Linked DNA regions of Bombyx mori. The protein of the gene in region 1 interacts with the protein of each later gene in a pairwise test. Links are inferred from orthologs where the notes say so. Each region holds a gene or a part of one and is shown on either strand. Other genes may lie near its edges.

Region 1 (11,330 bases):
TGCCAACATCCACCTATTTACATTTGAATGTTTCTTTTTTGTAAAGTTTTTTATAGTTATTGTATGAAATGTGTATACATTGGCTGGACGTTGGTCGGCATTCACTTGAATATCTTGCCCTGGTTGAACTTTCTACCGTCTTTGTCGGTTCCGTTCCACGAGAAGTAGTCCTGGACAAGTTTCTTGGTCTCCTCGCTCGAAGGATCCAGTTTCTTCCAGTCGTAGGACTCGTAGTCCACCTGTAAAACGATTATTTCATTAGTTTCTGTAGATTGGTTGTTATCTATACTAATATATAAATCTACAGTGGTTTTTACGGATGTTCCGTTATAACTACTAAACCATGCATCCGATTGACTTGAAACTTGGTATCCATGTAGAAAATACATGTACTTAATGGATAGGATAATATTTATATGAGTGTTGGATTCTCTACAGCAGTTGTGGGGGCGTTAAGATGAGAATCTTTGTGGGGGTGAATATAATAATGTTAATTTTAAATGCCCGGCGATATAAAATCAATACACACAAATGACATTATTTCTAAAGCCATGTCTGTTGAAAAATACTGTAACTGCACTATTGTTGTCTACCCTGCATGCACACACACACCATTAAACATTAGTCAGGGCAGCAATTCTCATCAGATACCCCTCATCATTACACATATTGCACTCAAAATATAAACTTACTAAAAGAGCAATTAACTAAGTTTTGTGAATCAATTTTGTTTTCCTATGAATATTATTAACTTTTTGGCTTTTAGAATGGTAAACTACACTACTAAATGAATTGCTGTTCGTTAGTCTCGTTAAAACTCAAGAACAGCTGGACAGATTTGGCTAATTTTGGTCTTGAATTATTTGTGAAAGTCCAGAGAAGGTTTAAAAAGTAGATAAATATGCAAATGCTCGGAATTAAACAAAAATAACAATTTTATTTTTCCATTGATGTGTCCCCTGTCCATCAGATTCCTTTTGTTGTTTTAAGTTTATACAGAAGTTTAGGTCTTTTATAATATCGGTTCAGGCACTACGAAGTTTGCAGGGTCAGCTAGTACATTATATATATATATATATATATATATTGTATCGGTCAGCACGGTTGCTTTTATGCTACTTTGCAACTATGTCATTTGTATACAAACCTGCCAATCAGACGACAGCGGGAACACGAGCTCCTTTCCGCGCCACACCCACACTCCAGAGATGGTGGAATTGTTGTCTTCACCAAACAGGCAGACGGATGCGAAAGCCTGTTTGCGCATTTTGTCTAACCTCTGGAACATACCTGGTGAATAGACGAAAATTATATGTAAAAACATAAAAGTCCACTTGTAAGTTCTGGGCTGCTATGCAATTTCTGCTTGTTTTATCCTCATAGACCCTTGATGATCAATAGGGACATTCTATGATAAAAGAAAACTCGTACAATTTATAAAATTATTCTGAGAGGTGTGTCAATGCAATTCAGTAGTACCATCCTGTCTATTCCATAAATGCACTAGTAATGAGCTCATTCACCTGTATAAGTATTAAAAAAAAAACTTACCCGTAATAAGGTTACAGCTCATGAACACTTTAGCGAGTTCCTCGGGGTATTTGTATTCAGCATACCAAATGGAATAGTTCTCGGGGTCAAACTTCTCCCAGAAGTAAGGAATAGATTTAGCTTCGTCTTCGTTGGAGTAGACACGCTTGAAATCATCCATGTTGAAGGTACTGAAATAAAAATGTAACAAAGTTTGATATCTCTTTTATTAAATGTTAATTGTTCTAATGAAGGTATCATTTTTAACACCTTGACTGTATTAATATTTTTAGTGTCGTTCAGAAACTTTGGAAGGGGATTCCCTCCCTCTTAGTCACAACTATTATTTTTATTTCTTTAATTAACTGAATTACAAGACTAAGCAAACATACTAATCAATATGTGAGTTTCATGAACTGACTATTTTAATGGCTAACCGAAACCCTTATTATATACTACGGATTCCTTCTTGAATGACCAACTAAACCAAAACTTTCATTTAACATTCAAAGAACCACAACTGGGATTTTTTCAAGTACAAAAAATACATAAAAAATCAGATCATGCACATACCAAATATCTTTCAGAAAAAAAGGTCAGTCTGGAAAATGAACCAGAACACATGGTATATAAGCACTTTCACTAAACAATCAAACAACAGGGCTTGCTTGTTTGTGAATTGTTTTTCATTTCAGTGAATAACAGTTATTTACCCTTTAGGCATAGAGTCGAAGGGGTCCTTGGACTCCTTAGGCTTTTCAAGCTCCTCCTCTTCAAGGTCAGGAACAACTTCCTCCTTCTTCTTGGGTTGCTCTTTCTTTTCACACTTCTTATCTTTTTTGCCCTCCTATTAATTCAATTTTGGGAAGTTTTAGTTTAAGCAACATTTTTTTCTATCTATATTCAAAAGTATATTTTTAATGGTATATATTGCAAGTAACAAAATTTCCTTGGCATAGCATTCCCGTAATAAAACTGTATAATCTCAAAACTTACTAATTTTATGGTTATATGGTTATTACTAAGGTTTAACATGTGATATTTTTAATATTAATCATCTTTGCAACATTTATTTTTTATTTTTTAGCAGTTACATTATCTGCCTTTTAAAGGCAAGCTAAAATTATGTATTAATTTTATTAATAGTAGTAACATAGGTAAACTAAAAAGTTAAACTAAACTACGATCTCTTGACGGTATTTTGAGAAAAATACTGGTGATACCAAATGATTCCGCATATTAACTCAATTTCGAATATTTTTGGAAATTGTACACTTTTAATGCGGAAAGACGATATGTAATGCTGTTTAGCTGTTCTTATTCGATAATTGCTTTCTTATTACTATTAAAATTTGAACAAACATAATTAAATTATATTTTTTGATAAAAAAACTGTAACAGTTACAGTACCTTCTTGTTCTGTGCACCAGCTAACTCCTGGTACTTTTTAGGGTCGTATGTAGGAGGAGCCGCACAGAGCGTGAGCGAGCCGACGACGGCCGACACTTGCGGCTGGTGGGCGACGGTCAGGAACCAACGCTGAACGTTTATCAGCGACGAACGGACGCTCGGGTCTAGCACGTGCTGAAGTAAAATAGCTTTTATGGCATTCTATTCAAACCCAATCGATTGTGACTTGCTTTCTTGAAAAACTGGTGGGAGGACCATGTGAGTCCGCGCGGGTAGGTAACACCACCGCGCCTATTTCTGCCGTGAAGCAGTAATGTGTTTTGGGTTGAAGGGTGGGGCAGCCGTTGTGTAGCTATACTTGAGACCTTAGAACTTATATCTCAAGGTGGGTGTCGCATTTACGTTGTCTATACGCTCAAGTAACCACTTAACACCAGGTGGGCTGTGAGCTCGTCCACCCATCTAAGCAATAAAAAAAAAATTCATTATTATTATTAAGGTACTATTTAATTTTCGATAACAATTTGCTTTTTTTAGTCTTATGCTTTTTTATTGTTCTCCTATTTGCTTTACAAACACTTTTATGTATTTAGTAATGTATTGTTTAATGATTCTCTGAAGTATCACTTTATTAACTGTGCTTACTCCAAGTGGTGAAGAAAATCAATTCAAATCTTAAAAGAAAGTTTTCAGTAGTTCATAGGATAACTTCCTTATCCTCACCTGGAAAGCATGCAGCAGTGTACTGAAGACAATGACATCGGCAAGTGTGATTCTCTCGGTAACAAGGAAGGTGCGTGTGAGAAGATGTCCGTCCAGTACTTTTAAGGCGGCCAGTAGGTCAGACTTTGCACGTTCAACATTCTGGAATTATTTAATCCTTATATCAGTTGCCAGTAGTTTGTGGCTTATAATTGTAATATTGAGTAGCTTATTAAGCACCATGACAATATAATAAATTAGAGAAAACGTACAAGATCCTATGTTTAATATTACTAAATTTTTATTGATGGTAGGAAGTCTTGTGAGTCTGCACGAGTAGGTACCACCACCCTGCCTATTTCTGCCCTGAAGCAGTAATGAGTTTCGGTTTGAAAGGCAGGGCAACCGTTGTACAGTTAAGAGTGAGACCTTACAACTCATGTCTCAAGGTGGGTGGCAGCATTTACGTTGTAGATATCTATGGGGTCCGATAACCACTTAACATCAGGTAGGGCCGTGAGCCATATATCTAAGCAAAAAAAAAGTTTAATTCTGAATAATGATAATATTCATATATTTTTATGTAATCACTTATATCAGTAGACTAACACATATATATTTTAATATCACAAATTCTTCAATTACCTGTTTGTTGAATTGCATGATACCAAGGTAAGGGAAGACCCAAGCGCAGGAAGCAGGCAGTAGTTCGCTGTCAGACCATGATGCCCACTGCCAGACACGGGCTTGGGTAGCCAGATCTCCTCCGCGGAGACTTTCATTGGCAACTGTAAAGTTCCTTTTTTAATTCAAGTTAAATGTTGTATTTTTCTTTTAACTTCTGATACTACTTGAAGTGAAAGGGTGTATGATTGGGATTATAAAATATTATGCAATAATTAAATATTATTAGTGATTTGTGAGTGTCCTCTATAATTATATTTAACGGAAATTATGAGTATTGTTTCATCAAGGAAAAGTCATGATTCGTCGATTTTATGAGTTTTTAAATCAGATTAAGTAGAAAAACGCTTTCATACTTGTACCATCGACGAATTATATAGTTAAATTTATTTGAAATAACTTCGCAAGAGGTATTTACAACCTTATCTTTTTTTAACTTTGGTTTATTAGGTATTCTTCTAGTTAGTTAGGTTAGATTTATTTAAGTTAGTTTTGTAGGTGTATTTGAAAATAAAAAAACTCACCGTAGTAAGCGATGGCATTGCTTTCAGTTAGAAGCACCTTTCCATCGGCACTTTCGAATGCAGGCACCTAAAATATACACCGATATTACACGTCACAACACTCAACATATGCCGAAATATTACTATGCACAATACGCCGGTTTAAACTCACTTTTCCGGCAGGAAACTTCTTCAAGAAGTCTTCGGACTTGTTGGTCTCGCCAAATACGAAATTCGGTGCTACTTTCACATCAGTCCCGGAATATTGTGCGGCGATCAACGCTTTATAAGCGCGGAAGTTTTCCGGATAAGTGTAAAGTACCTGAAAAAATAAATGCGTAATATTATTAATACTTTCATTATCATTGGGTTTTATTAATAAGTTTTCTATCAATGACTGGATTAACAAGATATTTCAAGGTAAATTACACCTACCCCGGCCGCCATGGTTGGAGTTTTCGGAAAGAGAAGGGGGGCCGAGGAAATATTGGCGAGGGAGGATTTTGCCCTTTGACATTGACATTCTGTGACAGCTGAAATAGAAATTAAGTGAAAATTGCATACACACGGTTATCTGTTAATCAATTTTTTAGTTTATTAAAAAAATCCCTTTTTCTTTCTTTAATTAGATTAGAATTAGACTAATATTGGAAATGCCTTGCAACCAAAAGCCTATTTCCAAGTGACTGTACATACTGTAGTTTAGGTCCTTATTTTCGGGCTAATGAAACTACCAATACCACGGGACGTTATATTATTAATTCTCTCTCACGGTCCGTACAGCTAGTCTATACATCACTCGATCAGAAACACCGTATGTTAAAGAATATAGTCTTGTGTAGCTCTTTATCATTGTAACAAAACGCTGAATGAGAATGTCTGTGTCTGGCTGTCTTTGTATCTTTCAAAAGTCTTCAAGCTGACGTGAAGGATTGAAACACATTTATTATGGCCATGTCTTGGGCACAAATTAATATTTGACAACAATTTAATATCGTCTGACCTGCGAAGTTTATTTGTGTGATGCTAGCAGCACGTCTTATGTCATCCATGCTGATCAGTGGCTCATTTTGTGGGTTAGCTTCTTCCTAAGCGAGCAATTAAATGAATGATTTTATAGAACAAAGTCAACTTCTGCAATTAGTTTTTGCTAGGAGAATTGAATGATTTATGTTGCTGTGTTCTTCTTTTAAGTGGACTAAAGTAGTTTATCGAATAAAGTATTAGCTAACTTTTCTGTTAAACCTCGTAATATGGCCACATCACAATTTAAATGATTAAAAACGCTATTTGTCTAATACTATCATGGACGAGCTTATACACTTTAAGTATTAGTAACTTTATTGGAACTGAATATTTCATGATTTTTTTGAAACATTAACCGTGTATTAACTTTTACATTTCACTGCTACTGATTCTTTTAATGCAATCGTAGTTGTTTTACCACTATTACTAATGTTTTTTGCAGAACAGAAGAAAATAGTTGAAGCTCAAGAGTCTAGCCTAATCTAGCTTTTGAATTTGGAACTAATACAGATTTGTGTAGATAGTTCTGCTCTAAATTTAGTTTTAACTTATTTCTTATAGGTAGCTGATACAATTGTACAAAACAATATATCTCAAGGTAGGTGGCGCTACTCACGTTCTCCTGACTATTATTAACGAATTTACAATAGACTAAATATATATCGAGACCCATAAAATTAAAACATACGGAAATGAATTTATATATTAGTATTACTTCTAATGAACTTTTTGGATTGATTATTGAACCTATGAAATATTGACCTAATTCATTTTAATGGTCCTCCCTTGAGCAGCTTCATACAATTCATGGCAACAATACAATCCGTGCGTAATTTAGATCGATGGTCATCGATGGTAGGTAACTGTGAATCTGCTGTGGTATTTTTGTTGCTTCTGATTTAATTTTATCGGAATCAGTTTGTGATTACAAACAGTCAGACGCACATTTATCTCTGATTGAGTGTGGTGTAGTAAAACTTTAGAATGGTAAGTGGCAAAACATTGTTATTTACTCGATTAACGTTCTGTAGCTAGTCACAAATTTTTAAGAGTTTAGCCCAATGCCTGGAAAAAAAACCGGTCTATATGATATGATTTTTTTAATTTAGACCTTAGAGTCATATGGTTATCTACTTGACTGCGAAAATTGATACAAGAATAAAAGGTTTGCACTTCGAAATTAGTTTTTAATTCTATTATGGAAAATGCAGTGGGTTGTCACAATACTAAAATTCTGGGTAGTAAATAAATTTTCATTTCCTTTGTTATTCTTTTTATCATTGATCTGCAAATTAACTAAAAAGGTAAACTACCAAAATATTCAGTAACATTATATATATTAATTCTTAATAGTCTAGATGTGAACTATAAAAGTTGAATCTTAAAATTTGATGACAAAAACAAAGTTTTGAACTAGTTTAAAATCTTAAACTAACAAAAAACACTTTACTATTACGCTATTGATTATATTAATCATAAATAAAGTATTTATAAAATGTGTAACCATTTTCAGGGTAACGAAAACTCTATTCCCATGGAACTATGTTCAAACTGTAAGTAATAAATTAAATTAATTTCTTCTATACGTTTTTTATTTCAATATGATACAATATATAATCATAGCTTAACAGTTGCATTTCTTCAACTTTATAAAGAAAATAAAATAAAATTGTAGAGATAAAAAAAGTATTAAAAAATATCACAGTTTAAAAACTATAGATAATGCATGAAAATTCTAACAATGGTTAGTTTAAATGGTAATAGGGCATTTAAATAAGACATAACAGAAAGTTTGTGTTTCAGCGCGTGTTAACTGCATTGATTTTAAGGTGGAAAACTGTGAGTGTTGTAGAGTCACTCGCGTATAATATCCATCTCCATGTTAGATTGCACACGCATTATTGTTCCAGAACAATTTTTGGTGTTCGTTTCAATAATGAAATGAAAAAGAAATAGTTCAGAAAAATTATTATAATAGATGATTGTAAAATAAAATGTATTCAATAAAAATAAACTGAAATGGTTATAGAAATCGATTGCGACTAAAAAATGCCCTGAAAAACTAAAACTAAAATAATAACATAAATTGCATTCCTAAATATCTATCGTGCAATATATGTATATCTGTATCTATATCATCTGTGCTTTATATCATATATATAAAAATACTATTGCTTTCTGCTTCTCTTCATTCTGTAAAAAAAAATTGTTCTGGATAAATAAATATTCATGCATTCCGCTAAAGCATTCATGTCACATCTATATGTCGTGTATTTATGTGGCATAGGGTACAGAAAAGAAATTGCAAACAAACAAAGCATAGTGAAAGAGCAATATTAAAAAGTATCATTACAGGTACTATCCTTTGTTTGGGCAATTTGTACCGAATGTTAGGTGTTGCTTTGTGTGTATAGATTTATTATGGCTAAGCTGGGCAGACATTATTTTGCCCTGTCTAATGTTAAGTCGTTACCATTGTCATTACAACTTTAATAGTGCTGCCCAATTTGAGACACTGGTCATTTGAGGTCTATGTAATGAAATAATGCCTGTTCTGTTTTTAAACATTGCTTCACTACAGAAATAAGCAAATCAGAAGCATCTGACGTCTGATAGCCCAAAACACATCATAATATGACTCAAATATATAGGGTGCTCCATGAATTGCCTAAAAGGCTGAGATAAAATTAGCATCTTAAGTAAAGGGTGGTTTATATTTAACTGTGTGTAATTATTAGTAAAGATTAGCTTAAAATTTTAAAGGTAATATAAATACAGTGAAAACTTATTTTATTATTAAATAAATACTTTATTGGTCAAGTTTCTCAAAGCTTATAATAGCAACTGTTATTTTTGATATTTTTATTTTATTTGAATATTGAGGTTAGTTTGAGGAAAACCATTACTGCACATGTAGGAAGGAAGCCTAAATATAGTATGTATAAATTATGAAATATAATTCATTTAAATTTTGGCATTTAGAAGAGACGATTATAACAAGTGTGGGACACCCTGTATACTTTTTGGGTTTTAATTTCACTATAGGATGTTACTGGTGCATCATGAACTTCTTTCGTAAACACATGTTACATAGAAATGTTTGTTCAATAATTAATTGTTCTAACAGTATAGTTTATTAGAACAGCCGTAATAGACCACTAACCAACCCATCTAGATTGCTTGAAATTTTACATTATTGATATATGCAGTAAGGATAAAGCTAGTTCCAATTAAGGAAATAGATTCGCATAAACAAATGTTCAAGTCCATTCTTTTGGTAGTTAAATTATGCTGATTGTTCGAGGTCTTCTAGAATAGAGTTAGGGTCAATAATGATTACAACATATCGATTTTGAAATACGAGTCGATGGTCGCGCATTTGCCGACGTTTAAACAACAGAAGTTGCGTGGTGAGTCGATGTATCGATGGTCACTAGAACGAGATATATTAATTAAAAACGAATCGAATAACATCGTCGGAAACTTGGTTAACGATTAATATTCTATCGATTGTTTAAAGGTCTCGGAGTTCCCAATTGCTAGCTTGCTGCAATCATCATTATGTTTTTTTTTTGTTGAAATACAAATTAACCCCTTTTGGATACATTTTATAACTCGAATATTACAAAAATAAGGCTACCCTTGAAATACATAAAGGTGCGTTATATAAACACATGTGCAACTAACAAAAGCCTTAAAATGTATATAGTTAGAAAGACGTCATAAATAATTTAGTAACGATGAAAAATTGGATTATTAGACGAACAATTCGAAGTGGTGAACACTAGCCATAAGCTCCACAACATCAATACTGCCTCCTACCTCGAGATAAAGTATCAGTTACATTGAAATCTCATCCTATCGGCTATCCTATCCTAATCTACAAACCGGAATGGCTTTGCAGAAGACAGTTAGTATGCTCGTATCGGACAAGTCCTACACTTCTTATACGTACAAAATCGAAAGGTTAAATTTTTCATGTAGGATTATCAGATAATTTATTTGTTGTGATGTTGATGTACATATCCACATTATCATCATTTATTTAGTAGGTACATTCTCGGTACACGTATAATGAATAAGGAATGAGACAACTCTCTTCTTTTTGAATGTTGTATATGTTTCTTTGTGCTGGTTGAATTCGAATGATTTTGTTTAAGAAGTACGGGTTTATTATTTCATGTAAATCGGTAAAAGATAAAAGCGGGTAGTTAGTTGTCTTGATGTATTTGTTAAAACAGTGTTGACTAGAATGATTCAATATTGTTTGTTGATGAAGTTAAATGATGATGATATTAATTTATCCCTAATGGGAAAGGCAAAGGACTTTAGTCCATATAGCCAGGTCTTTAGTCTAGGTCTATAGTTTTAAAGGCCGAAGCCGCGTCTTCATTGTTCTTGATCGTAAGGCCGAAGCCATGTCTTGTCTTATTGTTGTCATATCTTATTATTCTCTGATGAAGTTAAATTTTTAGGAAAACTCTGCGTGTCATGTTATTACTGGGGATGGAGATGTATGCGCAGTCCTTTACGGGTAAAGTGATTGTGGCTATAGAATGTCTACTGAGTTTCTCGCCGAATCCTCCAAGTGGGTCACGATTCTGATCCGGTGGTAGATTCAGCGAAGCACTGCCCTTGCTAAGCCTTGCTAATGTTAGCAAGTCCTTCCAGGTCGAGCCTCGTGAGCTCATCGACCAAACCGGCCGTAAATAGGATAGCTTTTTAGGCTACCGTCGATTATGTAGAAAAGGACATAGAATTTGTCGTAAAATAGCTCGTAACTTCTTTGTCCCGGAACTGATTTTAATTCGTCAATTGTGTGGTTATTTTATTTATGAAACGGTAAAGACAGTCTTCAAATCATACACCAATGAAAATAGTATTTGAAAGTTGATAAGTTTTTGCGTATGGCATTCTTTGAAAGTCATTGTTGCAATCACCTCCAACCACCGCCTCCAAAAAGAGACACTATAGAAAAAAGAAAAGCCATCTCCATTTAAATTAGTTAATTATAATACATTTATCAAGTTGCGAATTCTCTATAAAATCTCAAACTGAGATACCCGTGTGTACCTTTGATTTTCATATATCCGTCTATTAAATAATCTATATCTTATACGATAATAATGTCTTTTAATGTCTCAAAATAATCATCTTCATTTCACTCCATAATATCATTTTTCATAAAAATATGAATGTAAATTAAAATAAGACATGACTTAAAGGTCTTAGTTACCAGGTCATAAAATCCCTTAAAAATAATGTCTTCTATCAATTCGATCAAAACAAGTGATAGAGAAAAGATAACAATCTGAGTTAATTATAACTCCCCGTATAAGCTTGTAAGACGAACGATAAATGATTTAACTAAATAAATATATAAATATTAATGACGCTATCAATGTTGACAGCTAATGCTATAGTGTATTCATGCTATTTATAGTCGATCCCAGACAAAGGTGCCTTTAATGACAT
Region 2 (10,084 bases), on another chromosome or scaffold:
TAAATTTAACTGTAACCGGTGTTTTAAAAATATTGGAGGAACTGACAAACGTTTTTTTTGGTGTTTTGAATATAATTATATCTTGTTAAAGTAATTATTAGTTTTTTCAACAAAAAACAATTCAGAATCACAAGAATATTCTGTTTCTTTACATTCGACGACGAAACAGTGATAGATAAAGAAGACGACGCAAGAACATCCAATTATACAGCACACAAGGTATGATAGTCCAATCGCAAAAGTTTTATAATTATGATAACAATTCAAAATTAAACGGTTTGCAATAGATACGTTATAAACAATCTTAACGAAAGTAATTTTTTTTTATTGCCCTTGTATGCAGATGAGCATACGGCCCACCGATTGTGAGTGGTTAGCGTCGCCCATGGACTTCAGCAATGCCAGGGGCAGAGCCAAGCCGCTGCCTACCGCTTAATACTCTCCACAAGCCTCGTTTGAAGAAGGACATGTCATAGCGTTCGGAAAACACCGTGGAGGGGAGCTCATTCCATAGCCGGATGGTGCGTGGCAAAAAAGACCTCTGGAAACGCACTGTGGATGACCGCAGACTCGCTCCAGGTAGTATGGATGAACTCTACTCCGGTGACGGGTGGTGCGATGGTAAAAACGAGATGCCGATATCATCTCGAACAATTCTTCAGAGCACTCCCCATGGAACATCTGTACAAAATACAAAGGGAACCAAAGTCCCTCCGCAGACTCATAGGTTCCAAACAATCCGTGAGAGTGGGATTACCGACAATCCGAACGGCCCTCCTCTGTATGGAGTCAAATGGAAGAAGCTGGTAATTGGAAGCCCCGGCCTAGAGATGGGAGCAGTACTCCACGCGATGCCGGACTTGTGCTTTATAAAGCAAAAGTCTTTGTCCAGGCGTGAAGTACCGCTTCGCTCTGTTGAGGACTCCCAGCATTTTGGACGCCAACTTGGCTTTGCCTTCCAAATGACTCCGAAACTGGACATCGCTCGAAATGTCGACCCAAAGTATCCCGATACTCTCGGAAGGTTGCAGAGATACTCCTTGGAATTGCGGCGCCATGACAAAAGGGTCCTTCTTCGCAGTGAACGCGCAAACTTGTCTCTTTAACGGGTTGAATTGAACCAAGTTGACAAGTTTTGATCGTCTCTCTTGCACCACGTTCCGAGAGAGACTCTGATGGCTGATATATCGCGCATCCCCCGTGCTGTCATCCGCATAGCAATGCATGCCATCAATAGACAGCATGTCATTGATATACAGGATGAAAAGCGTGGGGGAGAGCACCGAACCTTGTGGAACGCCAGCGTTAATGGAAATGGTATCGGAACAGCAACCGTCTACAACGACAGTGATGCTCCGCCCATCTTAAAAGCTAGCGATGCACTTGCAGAGTCCCTCAGGGATAACGTAAGATGGTAACTTCGACAGAAGTGCCCTATGCCAGACCCTGTCGAAGGCCTTCGCGATATCAAGGCTTACAGCGAGAGCCTCGCCCTTGCTCTCCAAGGCTTCAGCCCACCTGTGTGTAAGGTATACAAGAAGATCGCCAGCTGAGCGACCATGACGGAAACCGTACTGTCGGTCACTGATCAGCTGGCGATCCTCAAGGTACTTCAATCGAAGATTGGACCTCCAGATTAGACTACGTCCGAGACAGCCGTGGCGGTCATATGCCAGAAGTCATATGTAAATTATAATGCCAAAAGATTATCTTTCAAATAAAGTAAATTTCATGACAATTTAAAAATTCATCTTTGTTTTATTCCATTTTAAAGTTCTGTACCTCTATAAAAACACCCTTTATATACAACGATATTTAATACGGTGACATATAGGTACATTTGTCTTCTTTCTCCTGAAGTACCCATTTTATTGCAATAATATATCTTACATAAACTCCATATTAAAGCAAATACGAAAACAATTAAGTATAATAAAATAAAAATTATGTAATAAAACTTTGACAATCACTACCGATTTCGAAACGGGTTAAGACCGGATACTTTTGTCCGTACTTCACTCGGGAAGGGAAACACCGGATTTCAGCCTACAGAGACAGTAGATATTTCTGCATTAGTTCTATCGGGCTATCACTGATTAAAACTTAGTATTTAGGCAAAAATATAACAAAAAGAGCCATATTTCTGCTAATATATGCAAATAAAAATGAAGGTGAAAGACCGGATAGACAATATTTTATAAAATTTACCTTGTTTTCTCTAAGTACGCGTAGTACACGTCCGACTTGTTGGAGCCATTGGCGGCCACTGCGGACGGGGTGGAACATAACGGCGTGGCACGCAATGTGGCGAGCATTAAAAATTATGGTCGAATAGATTGAAAATTTGATTTCTACGTACTTACCCCAGCGCCGAACTTACCCCAACGCACCTTACTGGGTACTAAAAATATCAAGATGTAAACATATTTCTGTGATATACAATGTATATATGTAAACCATTTTACTTGGTGTAAATAATTGTTTTATATTTCGATCTATCCCATAAACCATTGTGCACATGAGTTCTGCTGTTTAATTGATAAATAATTTTCATAACTTTTTTCATAACCTGAAAATTACCTTTATATTTTTTGTCAGTATATGAATCAGGTTTGGGACGTATTTGGCAGTATCTTAGCATCCTGTTGGAGTCACTGTAATAGAAACTACTCAGTCGATTCTGTGAAATGTTTTAAAGGCCTTACATGGGGGGAAAGTGGTGATGCAACTGCGGACCATGCTGCTGGATGCCGTTTCCGTATGCACCACATACGCATCCTGATTGGTAATGATATTCGCATTTCGCGGCGCCCCTACTGGAGTCATTGAAAGTGATATCAAATTAGCATCTAGCCGCTGAGTCAGCAATAGAGCAGAGTTACTAGAAAAATAATTCTGCGCCCATCTTTGAGATGCGGCTCCTAAATACCTACCTTTCAGTTGACTGTATACAAAAGACAGCTCTTTTTTTTTCAAAGTTTTTGATTTCATGGATCGTTTGAAACCTTGGCGAGGTAGATTCAGTGAAGCACTACTACTACTACTAGTACTACTCTTGCTAGAGCTAGTGTTAGCAAGTCCTCCCAGGTTGAGCCCCATGAGCTCACCTAAAAAAACCCGCGCATAGTTGGAATAGGCACTTAGGCTACCAACGATCGGATAGAAAATTACCATGTGTGCTATATTCTGGGAAATTAACGCATGAAAATACTCTAAAAGAATAATATATGTTGCCATCGTCGACAAACACAAACATGATGCACACCTATCATTATAGACAGAGATAGTCATGGAAGTCTACAATCGACTTTTGTGAATCTATCTTCACCTAGTAAAGGATAGGGAAGGAAACCCATACTTACACCGGTCACTCACATGCGCACGAATACGCAACCCACAAGTGTAGGACGACATTTGCGAATGATTATGCAAAGTTTTCGCTGCATTCGTGGTTTTCCAAGCTGTGTCGGTTTAACAGACATCAAAGCGCGCGAACCTCGAACCTTCACGTAGTCTCCCACACATTCGCTTGCCCAGTTGCGCCGACGATTGCGAAGGTAACGGACGTATACTATACGCCATTTTCATAGTTCGTGACGTCTACTGTGTAGCGTATCTTCATCAAAAGAAATCCCATAAAAACAGCATGGCTGTTAATGATGTCTGGGAAAGAATTAAAAACTTTTTCTCTTCAATGTTCTATTGACGAATTAAAAAGGAGAAATTCGTGAGACATTCGTAAACAAGTGTAGGAGGAAGCGCAAACGGGTTCGCAAATTGAGTATGCGAACCCATTTGCACAGCCGCTAGGCCGGCATTAGTCTATACTCATTAACGCATGAAAATACTCTAAATGAATAATATATGTGGCCACCCTCGACGACCATAAACATGATGCACAACTATCATTATAGTCAGAGATAGTCATGAAAGTCTTTAATCGACTTTTATGCCGGCCACTCACATGCGACTTTTATGCCGGCCACTCACATGCTCCACTCATGCTGTTTTTATGGGATTTCTTTTGATGAAGTTACGCTACACAGTAGACGTCACGAACTATGAAAATGGCGATACGTCCGTTACCTTCGCAATCGTTGGCGCAACTGGGCAAACGAATGTGTAGGAGACTACGCGAAGGATCGCGGTTCGCGCGCTTTAATGTCTGTTAAAAAACCGACACACCTTGGAAAACCACGAATGCAGCGAAAACTTTGCATAATCATTTGCAAATGTCGTCCTACACTTGCGGGTTTGCGTATTCGTTCGCATGTGAGTGACCGGTGTTAGGGCCGAGTCACACCGGAATGGCAACGTCGCGGCGAGCACTTTCCGTGTGAAATAATTTTAAACTTTATCTTCTTTCTGGTCGTTCCCTCAATGCTGAGGATCGTGACTGTATGTCAATCTTCTCCACTCGGTCCGGTTCTGCGCCATATGTACTGCTCCCCATATCTGGCCTCCAGTCACCTCCTTGAGTTGGTCAACCCATCCAACTTTATCTATATATACTTATAAGACCAGTATCGCTTGCAAAGCTCCAAAAGGTCGCGACACAGCCGCGCGCCACGTCCGTCTTGTCTGTGGTTCTGCCCGCGGCTGCTAGCGGCGACACGAGGCCGCTCGCGGCACCGCGGTCATATATAATAACCAATTCCATCATGTTCACTCTAAACATACGTTTTTTTTTTTTTTATTGTTTATATGGGTGGACGAGCTCGCAGTCCACCTGGTGTTAAGTGGTTACTGGACCCCATAGACATCCACAACCTAAATGCGCCACCCACCTTGAGATATAAGTTCTAAGGTCTCAAATATAGTTACAATGGCTGCCCCACCCTTCAAACCGAAACGCATTACTGCTTCACGGCAGAAATAGGCAGGGCGGTGGTACTTACCTGCGCGGGCTCACAAGAGGTCCTACCACCAGTAATTTACACAAATTATAATTTTGCGGGTTTCATTTTTATTACACGATCATTGCCGAATGAAGAAACTAATCTAGTCAAGAGGAGACTAGGCGCATGCAGTCTGGAGGCCGCGCGAGGCCGCCAGCGGCGACGCCGGAGGCCGCTGGCATCGCCGCCAGCTGATGTCGGACGCTGCTATTCCGGTGTGACTCGGCCCTTATGAATCTACCTTCACCTAGCAAGAGATAGGGAAGGAAACCACTAGGAAGAGAGACCTCTTCTCTCACGGACCCACATAATCAGGAGTAAACATTACCTATATCGATTGTGGAGATGTGGGTACTTTGTGAAATATAATTCCAATTAATGTGAATAAAACTTCATAACAACATCTAAAATTTAATTTTACAACACTGTTCAAAATATATTACTTAATTAAAAAGCAACGTTATGAAAAACAATTTGAAATCCTAAACATGTAATTATATTCACCATAAATTTAATTATGTTGCTAAAACATTACTGCACTCTTGACATAGGTACACCACAAAACTTTTAATTTTTTTCATACCCTTTACAACTTTTTATTCCTAACATGATTACTGCAGCTCAACCAAAATTCTTAAATGATTATGAAATTTCCCCATTAATATTAAAATTAATTGGCATCTTAATTAAAAATAAAATGACAAACACAGTCCATTTCTTAAATCAATGGTAATAATTCCAAGTTAAGTTTAAAATAATATAAAAGAGCTTTCTTATGAAATTACAAAATTATATTAGAAATTAATAAAAATATATTATCAAAGGTTGACTGAGCTGATATGTCAGTAAAAAAATAATATAATTAATCTGTTAATTAAGAGCTTAGTCCAAATCAGGAGCTGTGGCCGACGTCTTGCTTTCACCATCATCATCAGAACTATCTATATCACCAATAATAGATTTTATTAGACCTCCGAACATAGAGTTTGGATTTCTATTTTCCGAAGGTATTTCTATTCCAAACCAAATGCGGCCTATATTGTCTAAAAAAATGGAGTAGTTTGGATCCCTTTTAATGCTAATTGCATACCAATTCTTTAGTACCATAAACTGTCGTACATGTCTCCTGAAATTAAATACATATTAAAAAAAACTGTATTGATTATTTAACTTAAAATACTTAATATTTCTAGTCGTATTTTGCTATTTTGACTGGCTAAATATATTATGAAATTCACCAAATTCTTCAAAAAAATTGTTTACCACGATAAAATCATTTTTTTGTTTCAAGATATAATTTTATAAGATCTATCGTGAACAAAGAATTCTTGGATTTATTATTTAATTTTTAAGGTTATCTGCAAATAAATGAATTGAATTGTGCTATTTTGTAATGTAATAGATATAAAATTATTACTATTTTATATAGCCTACCTATATTACTAAAGGGACGTCCATTAATCACGTGAGGTAGTTTTGTGAATCTTTCGACCCTCCCTCCCACCTTGGTGAGACTTCATAAGATTTTCCTCCACTCCCTCCCCTCACCCCTAATCTTACACGAGATTCTTCAAAACTTATGTTTTGGCTGTAAATGTATAGGATTGAGAAAAAAAATAGCTACTTGTTCTATTACTTTCATTGAAGACTAACAAAGACTAGCATTTGTGAATATTACCGTAATTTAACATAACAATCATAAAATTAAATAGCGTTCGTCGAGTCGCACGTGTCAATACAGCTGGTCGACAGTGCACAATCGAGCGGTACTTTCCTGCTCTGTGAGGTTCTGACGAATACGAGAAACGCTATTGTGTCAGGTAGAAAAAAATCGGTGTCTGATTTGGCCATATTTTATTCTAAAAATAATTGTTCAGGCAATTTTACACCGTTTTCTGCTAAAAAGTGAGATATTCGCTAAGACCCCCTCCTCCATCCTAATTGAGATTTAGTTTGATCCCATCTCCCCTAGAACACCTCACGTAATTAATGGACGCCCCCTAATCGTTTTTTTACATAATACTAGGTGATAAACCTGCAATCAGAAGGAAAGGCAGATGGTGGAAACCCCCGCAGAATTCATAAACATAGACATCATGCATTATAATATGATTTTTACTTTTACTTTACGTTCCTGTGCAAAATCATAATTAAATTTCTATTTAGTCAAAAAGTTTTCAGAAATAGTTATCTTACATATATCAGTGTGCTTAGTGCAAGTTTTTTACCGTCTCGATAGCGTAAAAGTTAACTCAAATTTGTATGCAGTTGGAACAGCGCCCCTAGCGGCAAATATAGGCAAACGCTCCAATTCCATACAAATTTGAGTTAGCTTTTACGCTATGGGGAACGTTAAAAAACTCGTACTAAGCACAATGTATAAGATTCTGTTTATGGATGACATAAAAAGAAAATTAACTTACTGTTCGACAGCTCTCAGCAAGAACCACAAAAAATTCAATAGTGGGAATATATATGGAGGTCCTTTGCTATTCTTAATTTTGGGATGTGTTTCTGTATACCTCAAAAATGTTTCAGTTGCCATTCTTACATTTCTCAAACAAAGTATTTGCAACACAGCTTGTGCTATGAACAAATCTATTTCTGATTTGAGACCTTTAGTTGTGTGTAACTCTATAAGCATGTTAGCATATGCTGAACCATCCGATGAGTGTAAAAAGTGTCTATGAGCAGCTGTGTACTTTTTTTCCTTCCAAAATACTTCTGCTATTTTCTAAAATCAATTACAATTTGCGTCCGTTAGTTAAAATTAATTCTATGATCTTTAGCAATTCATAAACACATAATATTTTTCTAGACTAATAAATATATAAACACTTTTAACAAATTCAAAGGTTTAGGTTTTTTATGAGTGGGGTCTGAAAACTTTCCGACCTAACACAGATACAAGACTTTTTTTATGTTTGTTTTTATTTTTTTTCATATTCGCCTCAACAAGTCGCCTTGTAATTCTTCATCCAATGATGCTCGCATATCTCTATCCTTTCCAAACAATAGACGCCGTTTTTCTCTATAAAATAATTATTCATGAAGGTAATTAATTGTCTCCACATAATTATAACAAAAAACTGTCCTCCGAGCGCAATTTTTTGATGAGGAAACAAAAAGAAGTAACTTGGAGCTAGATTTGCTGAGTAAAGTCAAGATAAGGATGGTCAGCAGTTCAAAGTGCAATTCGTGGATTTTTGCTATGGTAACCACGGAGGTCTGAGACGGCATGTTGTCTTCACCATAGGATTTTCTTTTTCTGCACAAATGACCATTTTTTTTATTTTTTATTTGTCAAGTATTGATGCGTAGTACGCTCCTGTAATGGTTTTAATTTTTTAATGAAATTGATTAAGATAACTCTATGACTATCCCAAAAAACGGTCACCATCACTTTCCCAACGGAAAAAATAATTTTTACTTTTTTTTAGCTGGTTCCCCCTTTGCAGTCCACTGTTTTTCGGATGTATAATGGTATATCCATGTTTCATCTATAGTAAATTAATTGGCACCAAAACTCTGATTTATTGCTAAACCTAAACTGCACCAACAGAATTGGAAACATTCAAACACGTTTTTTTGTTTTTGTGACCATACATGACACTCAACGTGCAGACAGCTATTTTTCTCATCACTAATTCATATGAACAAAACATATGGACATTTTCATAGCCTCTACTATCTATGTTCTCTCACTTTAATTCAGGGGTTGTCTAGCACCATTTGATGATTTTAGGGATGTTATTGTCAATAGTTGCTCTTTTTGGATGTCCCCAATGTGCATCATGTCCCAAGCTTTCATGGAAATCAATTATCATTCATTTAAACTCAGTGGCCCAAAATTTCATTAGTTAATTATGGTGTAGAGTTCCCATACACGTAGTCCAATTCATCTTGGCATAGGTGTATTGCCTTTTAACCAACAGTGCTCTGTACTTTTTGTACCACTTCTTACCAGCAACTCAGGTACATTTTCACAGTGACCTTTGGCAATGCCCTAACATGTATTCTATCCAGAAATCAAATGCTTCTGTGACATTGCACCCTTCATCAAGTCTTCCAACTAATCTTCGCTTTCGATTTCACTAAATCTCATCAATGATCTCTTTGGTATTATAATTTCAGAACCATGACTTGAAGTGACCGAATTATAATCAAAGTTGTCTTTTGCAATATCTTTTAGCACTTCTAAATCAAATATTGGTGTTAGATCTTTACTATCATTAAACAAATATTTTCATTATTATGATTATTTGTCTTCATATGGTTAACCATACAAAGTAAAAAATTGCTGAATCATAACAGTACAGAGTATGTTTTAACTATAGATTATAATTGCCAACTGATAGCTCAATACTTATTTTTTCCATTTTCATAAATAAGTGAGTGTGTTACATCAACTCACTCCAACAACTCTTAAGTAACAAGTACAAAACATGTTCAAAATGGATGAAATTTTGGTGAGTAATGGCCAAAAGATAGACAGTTAACTACATTCACAAGCATTTTTTGATGAGTTCTGCTATTTTCATGATTGAAAATGGTTAAGGTCAGAAACTTGTCAAACCAACCTCAACCTCATATTAATCAATAATATGAACAGCATTGCAACAATTTTTATTGCTAAGGTTGATAAACAATCTTATGGCTGTTCCTCCTTTTAAACTGGAATGCATGACTGTTTCACAGCAAAAGTAAGCAAAATTATGATATCTAACTTCCTACCAATAGTAATTATGCAAGTGTTCCAGGTTTGATTTTTATTATAAGATATTATTCATTCATCTTGGAAGTCTTGAAAAATTTATCTCTGTATGATTTAGCCATGAACACTGTTCCATTGCTTCATAGTGTATACAAACACACAAAAACACACTACCTACGAGTTGATTTCATTTGTCATAAATATTAATTAGAAAAATGGGCTATGATATTTTCGAATAAGAGTGTCAAAATATCATTTAAGAATGAACTATTCTACAAATTAGTACTGTACCTTGTGTAGGAGTGGGTCACCTTTTTTGTTGTTATCCATTGACCATTTTATTGAATTTGTTAGAAAGGTTTCTCGCTCTGGGACACTGGAGCTGATTAATTCAAATAATTTTGCCAATTTCGAGACCCATTCTTCATTAGGTTTGGTTTCCGATTTTGTTAAAACTTCTACGAAGAGTATG
Region 3 (10,857 bases), on another chromosome or scaffold:
ACCCATCTAAGCAATAAAAAAATACATTGCAATTTCAACAGTTGACCATTACGAGCAAAATTTGTGGTCTTCTCTATAATTATTGAGAAAAGGTCTATCTTATATCGAAAATATGGCCAGGACGCTGTTGGAGCAAGCCCCCTACCCTGGAGAGCAAGGACGGGCATCGTTTTCTTATTATTGCATAGAAATCGTCTGTATGCGCCTCCGCAAGCTTGCACGATGCGGTGGGGAATCGAAGCAGCCCCATCAGTGTATTTAGTGCTAGTTTTTTTAACGCTTTTGACAGCGTTTTTTTTCCTACCTAACCTGATTGCCTTGAGAGGCTATTTCAGCGTAATCTGAACTAGTAGGTGAGCTCACGGGGCTCAAACCTGACGACGTTGCTAACACTGGCCCTAAAAAGAGCAGTGCTTCGCAGAATCTACCACCGGATCGGAACTGCGACCCTCTGAGAAGATCCGGCTCTCAGTGGGCTGTGTCTATGGGTTAATTTACTCGTCGAGCCCTTCGTCGCAAACGACGGGTTCGACGAGAACGATGACCGGTGCTTGAGTTACCTAAAAGCACCGTTAGTGGATCGGGAGGATCCGAAATAAGGTGTTTTGGGCGACGTCGACTGCTTTCAATTCTGTCCGCAGGATCGGGAATGTTTGATAGCGTAAAAGTTAACTCAAATTTGAATGCAGTTGGAACAGCGCCTCTGGTGGCTAACGTAGGCAAACTTTTGAACTCCATACAAATTTGTTTTAACGTTTACGCGATCGAGAACGTTAAAAAACTCGCACTCGTGAGCTCCCCTACCCGTCTGGGCGTAGCTGTATTAGGCTGTTAACTGTTACTGGTGGTAATATAAATAATATAATATATAAATATTTACTAACAATCACGCCACGTTAACTGGTCCCGTGCTAAGTTCGTAAAGAACTTGTGTTACAAGTACCAGATAACGGAAATAAATATAATATTTTTATTATACACATACATATATTTTAATATACACCCATAACCCTGGAAAGACATTTATATTTATCATACAAATATCTTCCCTTGGCGGGATTCGAACCCGCGACCCCCTTGTGTAGTGACCATGTCACTTACCACTACACCAGACGGCCGTGGTAGGACCTCTTGTGAGTCCGCATGGGTAGGTACCACCACCCCGCTTATTTCTGCCGTGAAGCAGTAATGCGTTTCGGTCTGAAGGGTGGGGCAGCCGTTGTAACTGTACTTGAGAACTTAGAACTTATATCTCAAGGTGGGTGGCGCATTTACGTTTTGGATGTCTATGGGCTCCAGTAACCACTTACACCAGGTGGGCTGTGAGCTCGTCCACCTATCTAAGCAGTAAAAAAAAAGGCTACCAACGAAGAAAAAAAAACGGGTTTTTTTAACACTAGAAAATAAAATAATTGTTTTTTTTTAATAACCATTTAATTTCATAACAGCTTAATAAAACATATCTAAAATTAAATATGACAGAGGTTATAAATAATTAATACCCAAAAATACTTATGATCATACAATATTAAGGGAATAACCGAAATTTTACTGCTTATTTTCTATGATGATTAACACGTAATGAAATATTGTTCAGTTTCTGAACGTCAAAATGACAGCGAGCGACTTCCGCCATGACACCAAATCCTCTTACAAATCCAGCCGCCAAAAGTAACGCGTCAATTTTATAATTCTCATATATTAAGTCGTTAATTTGTAAATATAAAGGTTTAATAAATATTTCATACAAAAAATACAGTCCACGCTTAATCAAAATAACGCAACAAATACATACAGGCATAGTTGAGACATTTCATTTAGAAAAATTGCTCTCCATTTTGTACTGGCTTCTAGTCTCATATAAAATGAGTTTCAATTAAGAATGTGCATGGATTTGCGCCATATTGTGACGTCATAACTGTCAAATCGAAAAAAATAGGTAAAGTCGGTAAAAAAAGTAGGAATTTTTAAATATTTATTTATAATCCAAATTTTCGCGTTTGCCGATTCCACTCATCCCACTGCTTGAATAATCATCATCATCGTCGCATTATACTATAATCATTATAGGGTCCGGCAGTGTTGCAGCGTTGTTTTTTAAATAGGTGGTAGTTTTTTTTATATAATCTATATTCATGTTTAATTTACCTCGACCAGTACTCAACATTTCAAGCAAATTATATAGATCTGTATGATTCATTAAGCAAACATATTAATAGTCTTCATAATAAGGCATAAAATTCAATTAAAAAAAGAAGATAACATTTTTTTTGTTGCTATCCGTACTTTTTTATCGAACTTTGACAGATCAAGGTCATTGACGTGCACATTCTTATTTGAAAAGGACTATAACGCGGTTCCACACAACACGGGACTTGTTAGGAGCATACCTACCGCGCTATAGGAGGGTATATATCTATATATTAATACGTGAAGCAAAAACTTTGTATCCCTTTTTACGAAAATTGCGCGGACAGAGTATGAAATTTTCCACACTTATAGAGAATATAGAGAAGTGCGCAATGCTAATAATTTTTTTAAATAATGCATAAAAGATACATTAAATCAATAAGGAAAACATTACACACACTACATACCATGTATTTGACGCACACACGCATGCATACTATTTATTGTCAAACTTTTGTTCTTGACGTCTGTTGTCAAATTGAGATTAAATATTGTTTGTCTTTGTTAATATTTTTTATAGTGTAGTCTTGGCGAAATTTGTGATTATAGAAGTATAAAATACTAGCGACCCGCCCTCGCTTCGCTTCGGAAACATTAAAACACACATGAAACCAAAAAATAAAAAATAAAAATAAAATAAAAAAAAGTAGCCTATGTTCATCAGGGACAATGTCGGCTTCTAATGGAAAAAGAATTTTTCAAATCGGTCCAGTAGTTTCGGAGCCTATTCGAAACAAACAAACAAACAAATCTTTCCTCTTTATAATATTAGTATAGACAACCAATAGTACTAACAAATCATCCTAAAAGTATATTATAAGGCACGATAAATATTTCTTCAATAACACATTTTACCCTTACACTATTAATCACTTATTAGTAAAAAATTAAATCGTTACCTTTGTCTGTTTAGTTCTTATGAAATAACTGTTTTTTTTTTACAGCGCCTTCAAAGATGTATAGGATCGTATATTTTATATATTATATATACAATATCTAATTGTCATTTGTAAAATGGAAGAATTCGATTGAGTGAAATACTTCGACACGATATCGTTTATGGGACGCTAAGCAATCTTAATCCTTTGCCTGTCGTGTAGGTCACCGGTGCCCTACGCGGCGCACTGAAGTATCTATATCGATTTATCTCTTCAACTTCTTACTAAGGCGCTGGAATATCTAGTAGACTCCGGGAAAGACGAATCCGAGAGATACTGAGAATGAATCTATTTGTAAGAGGACTAAAACATATATTAACAAACAAAAGAATTACTTTAGTGCGCCGCGTAGGGCACAGGTGACCTTTTTTATATATTTATTGCTTAATTAGTTGAACGAGCTCACAGCCCACCTGGTGTTAAGTGGTTACCAGAGCCCATAAACATGTAAAACGTAAATGCGCCACCCATCTTGAAATATAAGTTCTAAGGTCTCAGTATAGTTACAACGGCTGCTCCACCCTTCAAACCGAAACGCATTACTGCTTCGCGGCAGAAATAGCCAGGGTGGTGGTACCCACCCGCGCGCACTCACAAGAGGTCCTACCACGAGTAATATATACCTCTTTTGGAACTCTACAAACTTCCCCTTGGATCCCAACAGATATCGACATAGTTACTTCAGTGCGCCGCGTAGGGCACCGGTGACCTACACGACAGGCAAAGGGTTTAAGATCCTTGAAGCCGTGGAGCATTGTTAGTGTCTACAGGTTCTCGTAGTCCGGCGGCGGGCTCTTCGTGGCCTGAGCGACGGCCGCTTTGGGTAGATCCTCGCCTTGATTCATCACGGAATTAAGCAAGCGCTGTGAAACGAAAATGATTTTTTTTTTGACAGACAGTTGGCACCCCTGACTGGTGCGTTACTGCTATGTTTCCGTTACTGGTTTTTAAAGCACAGGGAATTCTAGTTTGAGGTCGTGTGGCAGCTTATGAGAATTGTCTATGGCCATTTCAAAAAACTCAGATAATTATGTATGTTAAAAGAGTGCGTTAATCCACAATACTAAAGCATAGATTTTTCTTCTAAATTTTCAGTATGGCAGTCGTCTTGTTGCGATTCCAATATTGCCAGAGCTTAAAACACAATTAAGTGAATAGAGCGTATATGTTCGGTTCTGTTAACCGACTTATAAAATGAGGAGGCTCTGAATTCTACTATATTTTTTATGTGCGTTTTTTATATAGGTGAACTGATTCTAATAATTAATGTTTTATTTAAATTTTTATTTCACCAAGATCTAGTAGGTATGTAACGAATAGTTTTAGAGTTATCCTTAACGATGCATAATTGACTTCGACTGGAGTTGTTTTTTTTTGTAACGTTCACCCAATCAAAGGGTACACGGCTCATACAGCCAAGTTTCACTTTCATTATCAAATTCAAATTCAAAATCATTTATTTCAACTTGGATGTCATCAAAAACACACTTGTTGAATGTCAAAATGTAAAAGAAAATGTTAACTCTACCACCGGTTCCAAAAAAAGCCACAGTCCTGAGAAGAACCGGCGAAACAAACTCAGCGGGCTTTTTTTCGAAGCTTTTTATCGATTTACAACAGTTAATTCACACTTACAATATGCTCGAGGCCATCACTGTTTGGTCTGCTCTGCGAGTAGACGAGACTTTGTTTCGTCGTTTGAACTGCGACCGGACTTTTCGATGCGACGTCTTCGGCTACCTGCAGCGCGTGACTGAGGGCACTAAAATAATAACCACAGATTATACGAACTTTCGTTTCGATAAGGCGTTTTTTTTTTATATACGGACAAAATATACTACTGGTGAGAAAATATATTTTTTACCGGTGGTAGGACTTCTTCTGAGTCCGCACGGGTTGGTACTTCCTCCCTGCCTATTTCTACCGTGAAGTAGTAATGCGTTTCGGTTTGAAGGGTGGGGCAGCCGTTGTAACTATATTGAGATCTTAGAACTTATATCTCAAGGTGGATGGCGCATTTACGTAGTAGATGTCTATGGGCTCCAGTAACCACTTAACACCAGGTGGACTGTGAGCTCGTCTACCCATCTAAGCAATAAATAAATAAAAATACAATATCGCTTTAGTTAATTAAGCGCGACTTAGTAATCTGTTTTTTCTTTGGGATTTTATGACCTGGTAACTAAGACATTTAGGTATGTCTTATTTTAATTTATATTCGTATTTTTATGAAAAATGATAATATGGAGAGAAATGAAAAGAAGATGATTAATTTGAGACATTAATCAACTGGGATGAAATGAAATGAAATAAGATGATATGGGATGAAATAATATAATCTCAGTAAAATGGTGGTCATTTACTGAGATTTTTTCAGTGGACTTTTTGGAGGATCCCGCGAAGTTATGTCCAGCGGCTTTGTTTCATTTTCCCACATTTGTGCACTTTCACAGATAGTAAACAATTAATAAACCACCGTTAGTTATTACACATTTAAGCCTGAAGAAACACTAACTAGACAAAATAAAACAAATCACACAACTTCACTTCTCGCGTTCCCGCCAAAAAGTACTTAGTAATCTGTGTTTTAGAATCATAGACAATACATTTGATCTATGAGATTACAATAAATTCAAATGCGGTTTGGTGTTTAGCGGGAACCCTAGGAGTGATATGTTTTATTTTGTTAATTTTGGCCCCAAATTAGGATTCCCCTGTTTTATTGGTACCAGTGAGGGACATACGCACTTATATATTTTTAAATAAATACATATATAAACAATGAACACTGCGACAAATATTAAACAAATGTGTTCATCACACGAATGTTTGCCTGACGTGTGAATCGAACCCACGACCATCGACGTGACATTTATAGATCTCAATTGTTTACCAATATAATCGTATTAAAATAATTTATCCACTAACATAATTGACGTTACGTATAATTGATTTTTAAAATAACAGATTAATAATAATAATAATGTTTTTATTGCAAGTAACCATGACTCATATAAATTGTTAATAAGACTTAGACCTATGTTAGTAGTTATATTTACATCACAATGAATTACTGTCGTAACATCCCATGGGAGATGGCACCACAGCGACCCATGTATACACAGTCCAGCCTGCTTGCGATCATGCTCAGGATACTGTTGGAGCTGGCCCTCACTCTGCTTACCAGAGATACACACCTCTTACGCATGGTAGCGTAAAAACAATCTATGTGCGCGTCTGCAAACATCCCTGATGCGCTACAAAAGCGGGGCAGCACCACCAGCACCCTAAACGCGTTATTATGTATAAGCGTCCTTATTAAAAAAAGCACTTACGTGTCTTTATCGGGGAACACTTTACTGACGAAGCCTATTTCACTCGCTTCCCTGGCGTCGAACTTTCGGCCGGTGTAGCAAAGTTCTCGCGCTATCGACGTGTTGCCAATTACCTGAATGAAAATGTTACCGTGTTTAAAATTTTGTTCCGTCATCTATATATTATTAAGTGGTTAACTACGAAATAGCTGTTTAGTGTCTTCCTCCTTCCTCCTCGCGTCAATAATCCTCAATGCTAAGAGTCGTGGCCTCATGAGGCTTTCTTGGAAAACTTATCCGGGCATGGGACCGGTATTGGGATTGGCCGTTTAATGTAGAGAAAGTTTACTGGTGGAAGGACATCTTGTGAGTCCGCACGGGTAGGTACCACCACCCTGCCTATTTCTGCCGTGAAGCAGTAATGCGTTTCGGTTCGCAGACACTGAGACCTTAGAACTCATATCTCAAGGTGACGGCATTTACGTTATAGATGTCTATGGGCTCCGGTAACCACTTAACACCAGGTGGGCAGTGAGATCGTCCATCCACCTAAGAAATAAAAAAGTTCGGTTCATCTATAAGTGAATTTTTATAGTTTTTTTTAAAACTACCTTTATTATTATTTTTAGATCGTAATGAAGCTACTTGTATTTATCGAAGCTAATGTACCTTCGGGAGCCTTTGCAGGGTTCCAACATCGGCCGCCAAGCCAACATCCACTTCCTTGACTTGAAACCACGCGTCCTGGGAGCAATACCTGAAAATTCAAATCTATCTAATATATAAAATTCTCGTGTCACAGTTTTCGTTGCCATACTCCTCCGAAACGGCTTGACCGATTTTGATGAAATTTTTTGTGCTTATCCGGTATCTATGAGAATCGGCCAACATCTATTTTTCATCCCCCTAAATGTTAGGGGTAGCCCACCCCTAAATTTTATTTTTTATTTTTTAGACAAAATTTTTAATTTCTGTTTTTTTATGATACAGCATACAAAAATACATACAACCCTAAATTTTCATCCCTCTACGATCAACCCTTATTTTTTATTTGCTAATTAAAAACTTTAAATTTTTTTTGCGAGAATTTTGTTTTTATTTTGTCATGGCGTAGAATAAAAAAATTAATATTACTCTGAAATTTTCACCCCTCTACGATCAACCCCTATTTTTTATTTGTTAATTATAAACTTTAATTTTTTTGGCAAGTCTTTATTTTGTTTTGTCATGACTTAAAATAAAAAAAATCATATTACTCTCAATTTTCACTCTTATACGATCAACCCCTATTTTTCCATCCCGATTAATATTTTTTTTATTCTATGCACAGATCCGCAATAAGGTTGCAAGATGGCAATCAAATATTATAATTGTAGTACGATAAATTCTTATTCAGAGTTTATAATTTCAAGTTCCTTTAATTATGATTTTTTTTAAATTGAATTTGATCTCCCGCCCTCGCCGGTCCACTTCTGATCAACTATCAATCGATCAGCTATCCCCGCCAGGTGTCACCACTCATCCAGCAAACATCACGTAGTAGGGATGAGGACGAAGCCGGTCTCCTCTTACTTACTCACTATACATCATAGATTATCATTAGAGCTATACAATACTATACCTTTTTCAGCCATGTTTTTTTGATTTTATTTGTGTATCAATAGTATGTTAATAGGTCTGAGAATCGGCTACTATCTATTTTTCATACCCCTAAGTGAAAGGGGTTGTCCACCCCAAACATTTATTTTTTATTTTAATTTTTTGGATATATATTTTTTGTTTATAATGAGGTATTATGTTGTTAAATGAGGATTTTTTTCTACAGTAGAATTACCCTAGAAATCTTATTTAAGGCAACACAACGTTTGCCGGGTCAGCTAGTACTAATATATAAATCTACAGTGGTTTTTACGGATGTTCCGTTGTAACTACTGAACCATGCATCCGATTGACTTGAAACTTGGTATCCATGTAGATAATACATACATACATACATACATGTACTTAATGGATAGGCAAATATTTATATGAGTGTTGGACTCTCATTAAGTTATTCCCATTATTTATTGTTATTAAATAATGACAATAAATAATAATGTACGTGAAGCAAAAATTATGAGATGAGATGATATGGAATGAAATATAATCTTAGTAAAATGGTGGTCATTTACTGAGATCTTTTCAGTAGACTTTTTGGAGGATCCCGGGATGTTACGTCCAGCGGCTTTGTTTAATTTTCCCACATTTGTGGACTTTCACAGATATTATTAATTGCTTAGAATCTGTGAAAGTGCACAAATGTGGGAAAATACAACAAAGCCGCTGAACGTTGCTTCTCGGGATCCTCCCAAATGTCCACCGAAAAAGTCTCTGTAAACGACCACCATTTTACTGAGATTATATTTCATCACATATCATTTCATTTGGAAATTTAATTCGTTTTAATAATTTATGTAATGTCGCGATTAGTTTTCTTCGTTTATTAAATTGTGAATAATTAAAACGGCGAATTATAAAAATCTTATTACTTGACGCTGGCTAATGCACAAACCGTGCCGGAGCCAAAAAATAAAGGAAAGATAACCGTTACCCTCGCCCGGTTACGCTGATTTTTTTTTTCTACTGATCTGAGAGCCTTGATGGGTTATTTCAGCGTAACTTTAACTAGTAGGTGAGCTCATGGGGCTCAAACCTGACGACGTTGCTAACACGAACCCTAGCAAGAGCCGTGCTTAGCAGAATCTACCACCGCATCAGAAACGCGACCCACTGAGAAGATCCGGCGAGAAACGCAGTGGGCTGTGTCTGTGGGTTAACTTACTCGTCGAGCCCTTCGTCGCAAGCGAAGGATTCGACGAGAACGGTGACCGGTGCTTGAGGTATCTGAAAGCACCGTTAGTGGATCGGGGGAATATTAGCAGCAGTGATGCTGGTGGACTGAGAAATGAAAATGCTATAAGCAAATAGGAAAATGTCTGCCCACTCCAAGTACCTGATGTCGCAGGCGGTGACCAGGTCTACTCCGGCGCCGATACAGGCGTTGTGCACCACGGTCAACACTGGTTTGACGCAATCCTCCAAAGCCGTGATTCCGTCCTGATATTGATCGATTTAAAAATTATTTTTTTTTAATTGCTTATCCTCGTGTACGATCTCACAGTCCACCTGGTGTTAAGTAGTTACTGGAGCCCATAGACTTCTACAACGTAAATGCGTCACCCATCTTGAGATATAAGTTCTAAGATCTCAGTACAGTTACAACAGCTGCCCCACCCTTCAAACCGAAACGCATTACTGCTTCATGGTAGAAATTGGCAGAGCGGTGGTACCTACCCGTGCGGACTCACAAGAGGTCCTACCACCAGTTTCTATGATGTTCTATGGGCTCGTATTCAAGGGTTACATTTGAGGGGGAAAGCAATACTGGGAGATCGTAAAAATGACTTTTTTATTGATACCTGATGCTAAGTGGTCACTGGAGCTGATAGACATGAACATCAACAAGATATGAGTTCTAAGGGTCAGTTTTTACAGTAAAAATAGACAGGGTGGTGGTACCCGTCTCTGAGGGATGACAAGATGACGAAGATCTGTTATGTTTTTTTTTGTCGTTGTAGACAGACGAACATACGGTAAGCCATGATAAGTAATCAGCATTGCTCATGGAGCAATCGCATGGGCATAACCAAACCGCTGCTAATCCCAAAACACCAGACAGTGCTGAATTGCAATACAAACCTGTGCGTATTTAATGAAGTTGTAATGGTATCTGGCCTTCCTGGCCACATCTGGAAGGTCCTCAGCCTCCGCCGCCATTTCCACGAGGCTGTTTATCTCTATACCTGTAAATGTATGGAAATAGTCGATATTAAAGTCGTCGTGGCCTATAGGATAAGACGACCGGTACATTTGTATGTAGCGATGTATCGGTGATCGAATCCCGCAGGCGGGTACCAATTTTTCCAATGAAATACGTACTCAACAAATGTTCACGATTGACTTCCACGGTGAAGGAATAACATCGTGTAATAAAAATGAAAACCGCAAAATTATAATTTGCGTAATTACTGGTGGACGTCTTGTGAGTTTGCACGGGTAGGTACCACCGCCCTTCCTATTTCTGCCGTGAAGCAGTAATGCGTTTCGGTTTGAAAGGTGGGGCAGCCGTTGTAACTATCTATACTAATATTATAAAGAGGAAAGATTTGTTTGTTTGTTTGTTTCGAATAGGCTCCGAAACTACTGGACCGATTTGAAAAATTCTTTTTCCATTAGAAGCCGACATTGTCCCTGATGAACATAGGCTACTTTTTTAATTTTTTTTTTAAAATTTTTTTTGGTTTCACGTGTGTTTTAATGTTTCCGAAGCGAAGCGAGGGCGGGTCGCTAGTACTGAGATATATAGAACATATCTC

Evidence for each region.
Region 2: the proteins of Ef-1g (region 1) and Golgi to ER traffic protein 4 homolog interact in a two-hybrid assay, tested with the Homo sapiens proteins (2 studies listed by BioGRID and IntAct, with this or other methods). The link is inferred for Bombyx mori from reciprocal best matches to the Homo sapiens genes EEF1G and GET4.
Region 3: the proteins of Ef-1g (region 1) and delta(3,5)-Delta(2,4)-dienoyl-CoA isomerase, mitochondrial interact in a two-hybrid assay, tested with the Homo sapiens proteins (2 studies listed by BioGRID and IntAct). The link is inferred for Bombyx mori from reciprocal best matches to the Homo sapiens genes EEF1G and ECH1.

Annotation. Positions count from the first base shown.
Region 1 is NC_085124.1:12,663,813-12,675,142, forward strand, and holds the start of Ef-1g (elongation factor 1 gamma), read right to left. Parts: upstream 5,277-11,330; coding exon 5,265-5,276; intron 5,152-5,264; coding exon 5,002-5,151; intron 4,918-5,001; coding exon 4,851-4,917; intron 4,431-4,850; coding exon 4,288-4,430; intron 3,805-4,287; coding exon 3,664-3,804; intron 3,115-3,663; coding exon 2,941-3,114; intron 2,378-2,940; coding exon 2,244-2,377; intron 1,722-2,243; coding exon 1,552-1,721; intron 1,291-1,551; coding exon 1,148-1,290; intron 240-1,147; coding exon 102-239; 3' UTR 1-101. Other genes in the region: Cnb (calcineurin B), read left to right, coding at 6,840-6,842, 7,369-7,408, 7,659-7,694. UniProt on the Homo sapiens protein: Probably plays a role in anchoring the complex to other cellular components.
Region 2 is NC_085123.1:7,281,588-7,291,671, reverse strand, and holds the end of Golgi to ER traffic protein 4 homolog, read right to left. Parts: coding exon 9,904-10,084; intron 7,633-9,903; coding exon 7,322-7,632; intron 6,025-7,321; coding exon 5,781-6,024; 3' UTR 5,290-5,780; downstream 1-5,289. Other genes in the region: uncharacterized protein LOC105841590, read right to left, coding at 2,209-2,286. UniProt on the Homo sapiens protein: As part of a cytosolic protein quality control complex, the BAG6/BAT3 complex, maintains misfolded and hydrophobic patches-containing proteins in a soluble state and participates in their proper delivery to the endoplasmic reticulum or alternatively can promote their sorting to the proteasome where they undergo degradation.
Region 3 is NC_085130.1:2,357,730-2,368,586, reverse strand, and holds the end of delta(3,5)-Delta(2,4)-dienoyl-CoA isomerase, mitochondrial, read right to left. Parts: intron 10,285-10,857; coding exon 10,181-10,284; intron 9,539-10,180; coding exon 9,435-9,538; intron 7,200-9,434; coding exon 7,112-7,199; intron 6,577-7,111; coding exon 6,464-6,576; intron 4,891-6,463; coding exon 4,764-4,890; intron 3,992-4,763; coding exon 3,893-3,991; 3' UTR 1,413-3,892; downstream 1-1,412. UniProt on the Homo sapiens protein: Isomerization of 3-trans,5-cis-dienoyl-CoA to 2-trans,4-trans-dienoyl-CoA.